Rattus norvegicus: one gene and its partners. The protein of the gene in region 1 interacts with the protein of each later gene in a pairwise test. Links are inferred from orthologs where the notes say so. Each region holds a gene or a part of one and is shown in the gene's direction. Other genes may lie near its edges.

The links.
Region 2: the proteins of Trim27 (region 1) and Ppp1r18 interact in binary tests that used the Homo sapiens proteins (3 or more experiments, as listed by UniProt). The two-hybrid records come from large-scale screens. The link is inferred for Rattus norvegicus from reciprocal best matches to the Homo sapiens genes TRIM27 and PPP1R18.
Region 3: the proteins of Trim27 (region 1) and Gnpda2 interact in binary tests that used the Homo sapiens proteins (3 or more experiments, as listed by UniProt). The link is inferred for Rattus norvegicus from reciprocal best matches to the Homo sapiens genes TRIM27 and GNPDA2.

What each region holds. Positions count from the first base shown.
Region 1 is NC_086035.1:48,243,785-48,247,531, reverse strand, and holds the start of Trim27 (zinc finger protein RFP), read left to right. Parts: upstream 1-1,474; coding exon 1,475-1,894; intron 1,895-2,426; exon of another isoform or gene 2,427-2,565; intron 2,566-2,631; exon of another isoform or gene 2,632-2,769; intron 2,770-2,977; coding exon 2,978-3,073; intron 3,074-3,747. Other genes in the region: uncharacterized protein LOC134482717, read right to left, coding at 507-543, 1,148-1,476. UniProt on the Homo sapiens protein: E3 ubiquitin-protein ligase that mediates ubiquitination of various substrates and thereby plays a role in diffent processes including proliferation, innate immunity, apoptosis, immune response or autophagy.
Region 2 is NC_086038.1:2,889,908-2,893,654, reverse strand, and holds the start of Ppp1r18 (phostensin), read left to right. Parts: upstream 1-1,325; 5' UTR 1,326-1,370; intron 1,371-2,369; 5' UTR 2,370-2,374; coding exon 2,375-3,747.
Region 3 is NC_086032.1:38,884,583-38,888,229, forward strand, and holds part of Gnpda2 (glucosamine-6-phosphate isomerase 2), read left to right. Parts: exon of another isoform or gene 1-64; intron 65-215; exon of another isoform or gene 216-2,655; coding exon 2,656-2,840; exon of another isoform or gene 2,841-3,305; intron 3,306-3,647. UniProt on the Homo sapiens protein: Catalyzes the reversible conversion of alpha-D-glucosamine 6-phosphate (GlcN-6P) into beta-D-fructose 6-phosphate (Fru-6P) and ammonium ion, a regulatory reaction step in de novo uridine diphosphate-N-acetyl-alpha-D-glucosamine (UDP-GlcNAc) biosynthesis via hexosamine pathway.

The sequences.
Region 1 (3,747 bases):
CACAGAACTGCAAATCTATTCTGTGATAAGAAGCTAGCCTACAAGACCTCCTCGGGTCGTCGCAGAATTCTCAATTGGGCAGAAACAAGCAAGTTTTAGGTTCTACTCAATGCCGTTCAATGCACTGGACACTTCATTTAAACTAATGGATAAAAATCTTTATGGCTCAAGCTGTGTTTTAAAAAGTTTAACTCACGGATGGGGAAAATTCCTGAAAGCAACAGTGTATGGGGGCTCAAGGAAGACACTGAAACAGACTGCTGGGAGTAAGAACTTTATTAGCGCCATAGGCAGATAGGCGGTGGACAATCAGAATTTCTGGCCGCGCCACAGGCGCCAGGGGGAGGTGGGGGCTGGGGAGTGTTCGAGAATGAAGCCCACGTGGCAGAATCAGGGTCGTTTCTTCTAGGGTCTCATAGGAACCCGCGGCCAGGCTCCTTCCTCAGCAGGTGGTAGGGAAGAAGTGTGTCATCAAGTAGCTCTTTGATATGTCTGGTCTGGCTACTTCACTTGAGGAAGTGAGAAACTGGGCACCAGAGGAGCCTGTTAAGAAGTTAGGGACTCACAAGCGGGCTCTCGGTGAGGCAGCTCCCTAGTAGCCGGAAGGCTAGAGAGAAGGGGAAGGACTTCAGTAGGTATCAGGGTCTGGTGAGCACTCTGGTCTGGATTCTATCAATCCCCCATTTCACGCGAGAAGAAAATGAGGCTCGGAACGATAAACAAACTTACTTTAGGGTGGAAGTAGAAGTGGGCTTCTCCATTTCTGCCACTGAGAAAAGTTGCTGATAATAAAACCTTTTTCTGGCGATTATTATCGCCTGGAGTTGGGTGTGTTTCAGAGTGCTTCACACACTGGGAGGGGCTTAGCTGGTCTCTCAGCCCAGTTTTCCGGCACTTATGCAAAGCCACCTTGCATTTAAAGGAGCCAAGGCCTAGGCACTAAGAAGACACCCGGCAAAGGACTACGGATCCACCAAAGCTTAGAGTATCCCGACCCCACTGCCAGGGACACCCTGCTCCCACTGCAAAGGGCAACCACCACCGACTCCCGGGCTGGGTACCGGGGCTCCAGGACTGCGCCGAGGAAACCCGCCTTCCCGCCCCGGAGGAGAGCGGCGCGGGAAGCCAGGCCCCGCCCCCGGCCCACCTCTTCCGCTCGGCCCTTAGGAGTCTGCGCGGCCCTGGGATCCCTTCCGACGCGGCCACGTTGCCCGGTGAGCCATCCTGCAGCGCCGGGTTCCCGACACCCCTCTGCTCGGCTCTCAGCCGGGCCCTGGGGCCCAGGCCTTCCCGCGCTGTCCGTGAGGTGCAGCTGTGCGGGGACGGGTCTGGCCGCCCCAGAGCTCCGCACGCGTCTAGGATCCCCGCGCCGGAGGCCCCACCCCGCTCCGGATCTGAGAAGCCGAGAGAGAGCGCCGGGCTCTGCCAGAGCTCGGCTCCGGGCTCATGCCCTGCGGCCCAGCCGGCTCGCGCCATGGCCTCAGGGAGCGTGGCCGAGTCCCTGCAGCAGGAGACCACCTGCCCCGTGTGTCTTCAATACTTTGTGGAACCCATGATGCTCGACTGCGGCCACAACATCTGTTGCGCGTGCCTGGCCCGCTGCTGGGGTGCCGCGGAGACTAACGTGTCGTGCCCGCAGTGCCGGGAGACCTTCCCGCAGCGCCACATGCGGCCCAACCGGCACCTGGCCAACGTGACCCAGCTGGTGAAGCAACTGCGCACCGAGCGGCCGTCGGGGCCGGACGGCGAGATGGGCGTGTGCGAGAAGCACCGCGAGCCTCTGAAGCTGTACTGCGAGCAGGACCAGATGCCCATCTGCGTGGTGTGCGACCGCTCGCGCGAGCACCGTGGCCACAGCGTGCTGCCGCTGGAGGAGGCTGTGGAAGGCTTCAAGGTAGGGCCGGGCCGGCGGACAAAGAGGAGAGCCGGGGGCTTCCTGGTTTGCCGCCGAGAAAATGGCGAGCCGGACGTGGGGCCCACCGCCGTCATTTCCTCCCTGTCGGCTGCGGAGCCTCCGCGCTCAGACTCGGAAGGAGAACCTGTAGCTGGCGAGGCCAGAGGCGTCCCCACCCCCACCCCTTCTCCGAGCGCCCCCTGTTAACTGCCTCAACGCGTGCCGCGGCTGGGACGGCGCGAGGAGACCCTCCCTTGACAAAGGAGATGCACATGGAGCCATGTCCACTTCCATAGGCCTTGAACACCTCGAACTTGCTCTGGCCCAGGATATCAAACCAGACAGCCCCTGTTGGCTGGCCGAATTCACATCGACCGATGCCTATCACTTAATCTAAGCCCCCAGCGCTTCCCTGTAACCTGTTTTAGAACCTAATGGAAATGAACAGAGCTCTTTACTGCTTGAGTAAATCATTTAGCCACTCTCAGACTCGGGAGATAACTTAATGAAGAGGAAGTGAACTCACAGGACCTGAAGAGGCCTTTGTTGAATAAACACTGGCACAGCTACACAGTAATTCGAAAATGTTACATATAAAGTAACTCTCAAGTGATAATGAGTCTGTTTTGAGGACTGCAGGGATATGTACCAACAGTTAGATTTGTTTAAATGTGAGTTCATCCAAATGTCAGTCACGTTTACAAAGCTGTATCATTTCACTCACTGGAAATAAAGTTGTAATTTAGTAATGCTTACCAGTTCTGTGCATGAGGAAAATAAATCATTTTTTTCTGTATTCGTCTGAGGAATAGCTTACCTTTTGAGCCTCTTTACCCAGATGTCTCATAACCTGTGCAGAATGCTTCTAGGAACTGGTAGGTGGCTTGAGTTTAACAAATTTCTAAAACAGCTGTGCTGGACCCTGTGCTTTAGGCTCTTCCCAGGAATGGCACTGTGGTCTGAGGACAGAGTCCAGCCCGGCCTTGGCATCTGTAGTTTGGGTTCCTGTGTCATAAGCAGAGTAGCTATTTTGATGCTGAGATCTGCAAAATTCTGAATTGGCTGACTGTTTACTTTCTTCAGGAGCAAATCCAGAATCGGCTGGACCACCTAAGAAGAGTGAAAGACTTGAAGAAGAGACGGAGGGCACAGGGGGAGCAGGCACGAGCTGAGCTCCTGGTAAGGGTCCAGGTCTCCAGCCTGCAGAGAGGCATTGCATCAGGATAGCCTTGGCAAGGGTGTAATGAAAACTTCTAAGCAGAGCATTTCCCCTTGGTGTCTGTCATTCCTATCATTTAGCTCCATCCTGTCTCTGAGTGAGTGCGATCTTGACACCTCTTGCTTGAAAACAGGATGAAGAAACTTCTCAGTGATCTTGTGTAGACTAAACTTAAACATACAATGTATCATATCAGCTTTGGGAGGATTTTCCAGAGAGAAATACTTGTGCCAGTGTGTCAGTCACACTGCTTTGGATATACTCAGTAAATTGATCTTTAGCCTTAATTTTGTCTAAGGTTATATTGTATACTTTATACCTTTGAAAGACTTATCCAGGTTAAAAGAGGTATAAGGGGCCCTTGGAACAGTTGAATTCAAGTCAGATTTTAGCAAACTTTCTGAAAGGGGCCAGTAATAAGTATTTTTAGCTTTGTTAATTTACACAAGCTAAATCACAACACCTCAGTCATTGCATCTCAAAAACAGCCATGTCTAATACATAAATGAGTGGGTTTGGCTGGATTCAAGTAAAATCTTTCTTGACTGCTCTAGAGCCATTTTGCTGACCATTTGTTTATTCAGAAATAGTTTCACTATGCAATCCAGGATGGTCTTGAACTCTCCATATTCCT
Region 2 (3,747 bases), on another chromosome or scaffold:
TGCATCTGCTTCAGACCAGAGGTTGGAAGTCATGCTTTGAAGGGGCTGTCCCTTCTCTTGCTTGAGAACTCAGTTCTAGGGTCCTGATCCTGGACTCTAAATTCAGTTTCCACCACTGGCCTTCAGAGTCTGCTTCTCACCAACCAACCAAGAAATAAACTCAAGAGCCTCCTTTTCTCTTCAGAGCATGACCTCCACACACACACAGGGTCAGCCTTAGCACTCCATCCCCTTGTTATTGGCTCTGCACCTCAGGGATTCCCTTCCGTGTTTCCACCTCGAGGAGCTATGTCAGGGCCTATCTGAAAGTTTGTAGGTAATGGCTCTTTTGTACTGCGGCTGTGGTTCCTCCCCACCACTGCCTTAGTTTTTCCACCTCATCAGCTCTGCGGTGCTGTCTTCTACAGCGATATCTCCCGTTTTTTTGTTTTGTTTTGTTTTGTTTTTTTTTTTAACTCGGGTTGACTCGGGGCTCCCTCCTCTCCCAAAGGACATGCGCTGCAGAAAAATTAAAATTTTATACATATGACACCCAGTTGTCTGTCCATGACTCTCAAGCCGCAGGACCAATTGGGGGGAGGGGGGGAGGAAGATTAGGCCAAGTTTTTGTGGCGATAGCCAAAGCACTCTAGGACGGATCCCTGGGCTGGGGCCACACCCCATGGACCCGCCCCATCTCTCAGTCCTCCAGTCCTGTTCCCTCCAAATATGAAAGTCTCTCCGCGTATAGATCAGGGAACCCGTGGGAGACAGAATAACTCTCTGGGAGGGGAGCGAACTCCCAAAGCTATTCGCCTCAGACCCCAGGGCCTGGCAGCCGCCTTCTCTGCCACGGTAACAAAGACTAGCCAGGGAAAGAAAAGGCGTGGGGAGGAGCAGCTAGAGATGGGAAGGGCGGGTCCGACTCCAAGCAGCTGCCGCTTCCTCTCCATGTCCCTTAGGGGGCCTGAGTCACGGGCCGCCGCCCCGGGTCGGCCTATTGGAGCACTGGGGTCTGGACACCCCGCTTCTCTAGGGCTGCAAGGAAGGAAGCGGGTGAAGGTCTCAGGAGACAGACAACCGAGAAAAAGGGGATTGCTACGGCGGGAGAGAAGTCCCACCAGAGTCCCACGCGGGAAGGAGGGCAGCGAAGCCCCGCCCTTCGCCGGGCTCCTCCCTGCGCCCCCTTCCTTCGCCCCATTGTCCGTAGACAAAGCGGTCGCCGCCCCCGGCTGGCCCCCTGTCTGCGTCTCCGTCCCTCCTCCTGGGTTCCCCCTTCCCTCCTCCTCTGTTTCCCTCCCTCCCTCCGGATCTCCCTTCGCCTCTCTCCTCCTCTTCCTCTCTCCCGACGCCCGACTCCACTGCACCTCCTCCTAGGGACCCCAAGGCGTGTAAGTTGACTGTAGGGCTCCCACTTTAAGGGAAGTGCCTCGTGGCTCTAAATCTCCCTTGGAGTGCCTCCCCTTTGTGCACAGATTGTCCGTTCAGTCCTCTCGGGTGCACGTCCCACTGGGTCAAGGTCCCCTGAGAGCCGGGTCCCTGGTTGGGGGACATCAGAGGCGCGATGCGGGTCCTCGTCGCGCCCGTGTTCTGGGGGCGCATCTGGTGGAGAGGCCGGCGAGATTGTAGGGACTGGACGCGGGTGGACGCCAGGGTTCTGGGAATGCATAGGCTGCCACACTTGCTCGGGTACCAAAAGTCCCCGAGGAGGGTATTTCCCCTGACCCGCCTCGGGGGCGGGATAGGCAAGTGGGGTAGGGGCCGGGCTGAGGGGCGGGGCCGAGCGCCGCTGGGAAGGCAGCCGGGACCTGCCGAGGCCCCGCGCGCAGAGGCGCCGGCGCCCTTGCCCGTTTCCCCGTCTCCCCTTCTCCCCTGGACCTCTGTCCTCCTCATCTAGCCTCACCTCCTCACATCTCGTCCGACCTCTTCGCCCCTCGCCTGCTGCTTCTCTCTTCCCATTTATCTCCCCTGGGTACCGGGGAAGCAGTCTCGACTGAACCCTCTCACTTCTCGGCCCCGGCTCCTCCGGCTCCTCGCTCTCCTGCTTTTCCTTACCTCCCCTTTTCATATCTCAGGGACCGTCTGGTGCCCACAAACCCCAATCTGGCTCTGCCTCTGCCCGGAATCTCGACTCTTCCTCTCCCATTATCCCCACCCCCAACTTGGCACCCGGCTTTTCTCCTCACTTTTTCAGTTCCTGACTCTTTTGCCCTCCTTCCTCTCACGGCCTTCCTCTATTTTCATTCTTAACTCTACAGTCCCTCTCTGCCCTTCTTAGTTCCTTCCCTCATCACTTCCTCCCTCCCCCCACCCCCATTCTCAGTCTCTGGGCTTCTCTGAAGCTCACCCTTCCTGTTCCCGTCCCCCAATACTCTCTCCTTCACTTCCAGCGACCATGACCGCTATCCCAGATTGGAAGCTACAGTTGCTAGCCCGGCGGAGGCAGGAGGAGGCAGCGGTTCGTGGCCGTGAGAAAGCAGAACGGGATCGCTTATCCCAGATGCCAGCCTGGAAGCGGGGAATTCTGGAACGACGCAGAGCCAAGTTGGGCCTACCTCCTGGAGAGGGGAGCCCTGTGCCTGGGAATGCAGAGGCTGGACCTCCAGACCCGGATGAATCTTCTGTCCTTTTGGAGGCTATTGGGCCAGTACATCAGAACCGATTCATCCAACAGGAGCGACAGCGGCAGCAGCAGCAGCAGCAGCAGCGAAACGAGGTGCTTGGTGATAGGAAGGCTGGGCCTCTGGAGGCTCTAGAACGGAGATCAAGTCCTGGTAATTTAAGAGATCAGAGCCCTAAGGGAAGAGAGTCAAGAGAAGAGAGGCTAAGTCCCAGGGAGGCCAGAGATAGGAAGCTGGTGATAGGAGGAACCCAAGAGTCAAGTTCGAGGTCTTTGGAGACTGGAGACTGGAGGCAGAGCCCAGCAGAGGCCAGAGACCTGGATTCCAGACCAGCTGAGGCTCAGAAATGGAGGCTGAGCCCTGGAGAAACTCCAGAGGAGAATCTGAGATTAGCAGGTTCTGGAGATCACAGTCCCAAGAGAAAAGAGGTATTGGAAAGCAGACTGAGCCCTGGGGAGTCTGGCGACCAGAAGACCAGTCTGACAGAGGCCCATAAATGGAATCTTGACTCAAGAGAAGCCCAGAAACAGAGCTTGGTACAGCTGGAGGCCACGGAGTGGAGGCTGAAGTCAAGTGAAGAGAGAAAAGACTACTTGGAGGAGTGTGGGAGTGAGGAAGAGAAATTGGGTTCAGGGATTGCCCCAGACCAGCCTTCAGTGACAAAGGAGGTTCAAGACACCACCTCTAGAGAAGTGGAGACTGCCGAGCAGAGGCCCACTGAAGGCTGGAAATGGACCCTAAACTCTGGGAAAGCTCGAGAACGGACACCTTGGGACATAGAGACGCAAATTCATAAGGCAGATCCTCCAGCATCTTCAGAGAAGCACCCGGGACCTTCTGCTGTGGAGGCTGGAGGGGAGGCTGAGAAGGAGGAGGCGGGGGCTCAGAGCAGGCCTCTGAGAGCCCAGCAGAACCGCTGCTCTGGGCCCTCCCCCCTCCCACCAGAGCACTCTGGGACGGAAGGCTCCAGACAGCAGGAAGAGGAAGCGGCAGAACCCCGGCCCCCAGCACCAGCCCCTCTGTCTCCCCCACCCTCGGCCCCAACTGCCCCCCAACCCTCTGGGGATCCCCTCATGAGCCGTCTGTTCTATGGGGTGAAACCAGGACCGGGGGTGGGGGCCCCCCGACGCAGTGGACACACCTTCAC
Region 3 (3,647 bases), on another chromosome or scaffold:
GGTTTGGTTAATAAAAACACTAAGAACTGTGCCAAATGGGATCAAAATATCAGCTTTATTAAAGGTAAAGTTGGAATAGAGACTGTAGGCTGGGCTTGAAGCAGTATTGGTTCTCCCCTGCACTGTGAATTGGCCTAGGACTAGAAGAGTCTAAGAATATAAATTTGCCACTGTCCACCCAGGGAATTAGAATGTGAGTTCCTTTCTCTTGGTAGGAAAGAGAAAAGAGGAAACGAATCCTCTGAGAGCTTTCATTCTTTCTCTGATGATGACAGAAAGGTAAGGTGTATCCTAAGTGTCTAAGGAGGACCCAGCAGTAAGGTAGAGATAAAGAAACTTAAGTGTAATATCTTAAACTTTGATATTTTATTTATATAAAATTTAAAGAAGACTGGGAAAAACTTTCATATTTTAATTGGTGAAGCTTTTGTTGGCAATAACACTATAACTTGTAGAGGGGGTCTAGTAGTGTGTTCACTGAAATGATTCTGGTATAGTTCACAAAACCTAGAGAGGGGATCAAGCACTGAGTGTTTGGAAAGAACCAAAAAACCTTAGCTCACAGAAGCAATGGCACGTTAAGCAGCAGCTGTCATTAGTCGTGTGTTTGTGTTTGCTTTGTTTCTGTTCGTCAGATAAGGATCAGTTCTAGTGAGGACTCCATTGCTTCAGCTTGCAGTGCTTTGCTCTTGCCACTCTCACTCAGAACGATAGGGACATAAGGAATTGCCTTTGAGATCCTCACCCCCTGACCCCTGCAGCCTGTAGTGAGGAGTGGAGCAGAAGAGGTATAGCAGGAAGAAACTGCTGAGCTGACCAAAGAGAAGTAACGTGCATTAATTCATTCAGCTCTTCATTCATTGAATGTCTCTTGTGTGTCATGTTAACTTCTGAGTAGTAGAGACACACAAAAGCCTTACTCAAAGGAAGTTTACAAACTACCCACAAGACCACAAGAACTATAGGACCAAAAGTCATTCATATATATATATATATAATTTCACCAGTGAGCTCTTGAGAGGATGCTGAGACCCTAATGTAGATGTACGGGCCACAGAGTTAGTGGAGCATAAAGCATTATCCGGAATCAATCAGTCTCTATGCCATTTGTGGCAGAAAGCATATGTAGTGGTGCTCCTCTAACAGGACACTTGACCAAGCTCAGGTCAGCCATGTGCTTTCTGTGGCCCATGTCACCAATGAAAACATTAATAAGACTTACAGGATCTCTGATTTGTTTTCTGAAGGTTTTATGTTTCGAGCTCTAACCTTTCTTTTGTGTGCATCTAAAGACAATTACATGGTGCATTTGTATATCCAAGAGTAAAATGATACATTTGAAAACACATTTAAGTATAATTAAAACGTGCTAGATACCGGTCTGTACTCAGGAATGGAAACAATCCTTGAAAATTAAACATATGTAAGTCCTTATTAAAAGTGTACACCCCACAGTAATCACTGCTAGACTGTTGTGCTTTAGAACATTTGATTCATACTATATTTTTCTTAATTCTTCAAAACTAGATTATAGCTTGCTTATTTTACTATGGCCTAAGAAGCTTAATGATATAGCATGTATCAGTGAAATATACCTGTCGTCTCCTTAAAGTAAACAGGTGGAGTATAGATGTAAAAGATATTTTTATTGCTTAGAGAATTGGGTTTTTGGTTGTTTTTTTTTTTTTTTTTTTGAGAATGCTGACAACTATGATACAGGTGTGTAAACTTTTATTTTTAAAGGTTCTTGATTTTTTTAAGGAAATTACCATTGTCTTCAAATAAGGAATATCATGTTCTTTTCTATATTTTAAAAGCCATCATAAAATATAGCAGGTGTGTATAGGTCACTGTGGTTGATACCTGTATGTCATGAAATCATTGCAACCAGTAACATCCACCATTCTCTTCTTGTACCACTAAGGAAATGAAGTGTAACAGAAAAGACCTTGCATAGATCCCTGTAAAGCCAAGTGTAATTTTATGCATTTTATTTGATTTTATTTTAGATGAGAGAGAGAGAGAGAGAGAGAGAGAGAGAGAGAGTATGTGTGTGTGTGTGTGTGTGTATTACAGTGAAAAATCAGAAAGCTTGTAATATAAAACTGGTATCTTAGGTATTTCTAATGCAATTCTATATTATTTTATGAGGAAATAAAACTAAAAGGGAACCATAGTTAATTGCCTCACCTAAACTGGACTGAAGCAAAGCACGGCGAGGATATCAAACCCTGGAGTCAGTAGTCAGGAGCCTATGATTCGAGTGCATCTCAGTGTTTACTAAACTGTGGTCTTTCACATCAGTTTCTTTTTGTGTTCCTGAAGAGGTGGCCATGAGGGAAGTAGCCACAGAGTTACCAAATACTGTCTGTTGTGAAAATGCCCTCGAAGCCTGTAGTGCTGTGTAAATGTGGTGCTCCCCGCTCTTGGTACATACATGTCATTCCATGCTGTGTACTCAGCAGATATGGGATACTGAATGAAATATACAAATATCTTAATATTATGAATTGAGTTCTAAAATAAGGTAAGTGTGTTTATGGTGATTTCTTTACCTTTATAACTATGTTGAAATTTGAGAAAATATGATATACTATATGTTTGAAACCTTGTTTATATCATGTATATATGAGTGTGCATATCTGTTTTTGAAAGGAATAGGTCCAGATGGTCATATCGCTTTCAATGAGCCAGGATCCAGTTTAGTATCAAGAACAAGATTAAAGACTCTAGCAATGGACACCATTTTAGCAAATGCAAAATATTTTGATGGAGATTTATCAAAAGTACCAACCATGGCTCTAACTGTTGGTGTGGGGACAGTGATGGATGCCAGGGAGGTAAGTAATGTTGTTTTGAATATTTTTCTTTGATGTTGAGTAATTATGGTGCTTAATATTTTAGATTCATCTAGTTTTCAATAAAAATGCTTAAAGGACAACATTTAATTAGAGCTGCCTCACTGGTTCTGAGGTTCAGTCCATTATCATCACAGCCGGAAGCATGGCAACATCCAGGCAGGCATGGGACTGTATGAACTGACAGCTCTACTTCTTGTTCAGAGGCAAACTGGAGCAGAATGGCTCTCACGTGGCTAGGAGGAGGGTCTCCAAGCCCACCACCACAGTGACACACCTCCTCCAACAAGGCCACACTTCCTGATAGTGCCACTCCCTGAGCCAAGCATATACAAACCACAACAGTAACTGTGGTTGTGTTGGCATTTGCGAAAGGGGTATAGAGAGAATGTCCTACATAGTTTTGGAGCCCATGGGATTGATTAATAAAAAGTGCTTTTGACTACACTTAGGAGGATTGGCTATATTGGTTTCCCATAGTTCAGTCCCCAAGGCGCACACGCTGGAAGGAGGGAGCCGATGGCTATAGACACACACAAATAAGTAAAAGTCCATTTAACATTCTTTAAAAGAAGCAGTAGTTTCAGTTGCCCTCTGAGGACTTCCTGTGAGATTTTGGCTAATGACCTAAGGGACTTTCATTCCTGCACCAAAGCTCCAAACATAATGAATCATTAGAGAAGCCCTGAATCGGCCTATAATGTGACTGCGTGCATGTGGTACACACCCACACATCTCATTTTGGTTGCTTCTGTAACAAATATTTCATTATTAGGACAGCACTGTGGG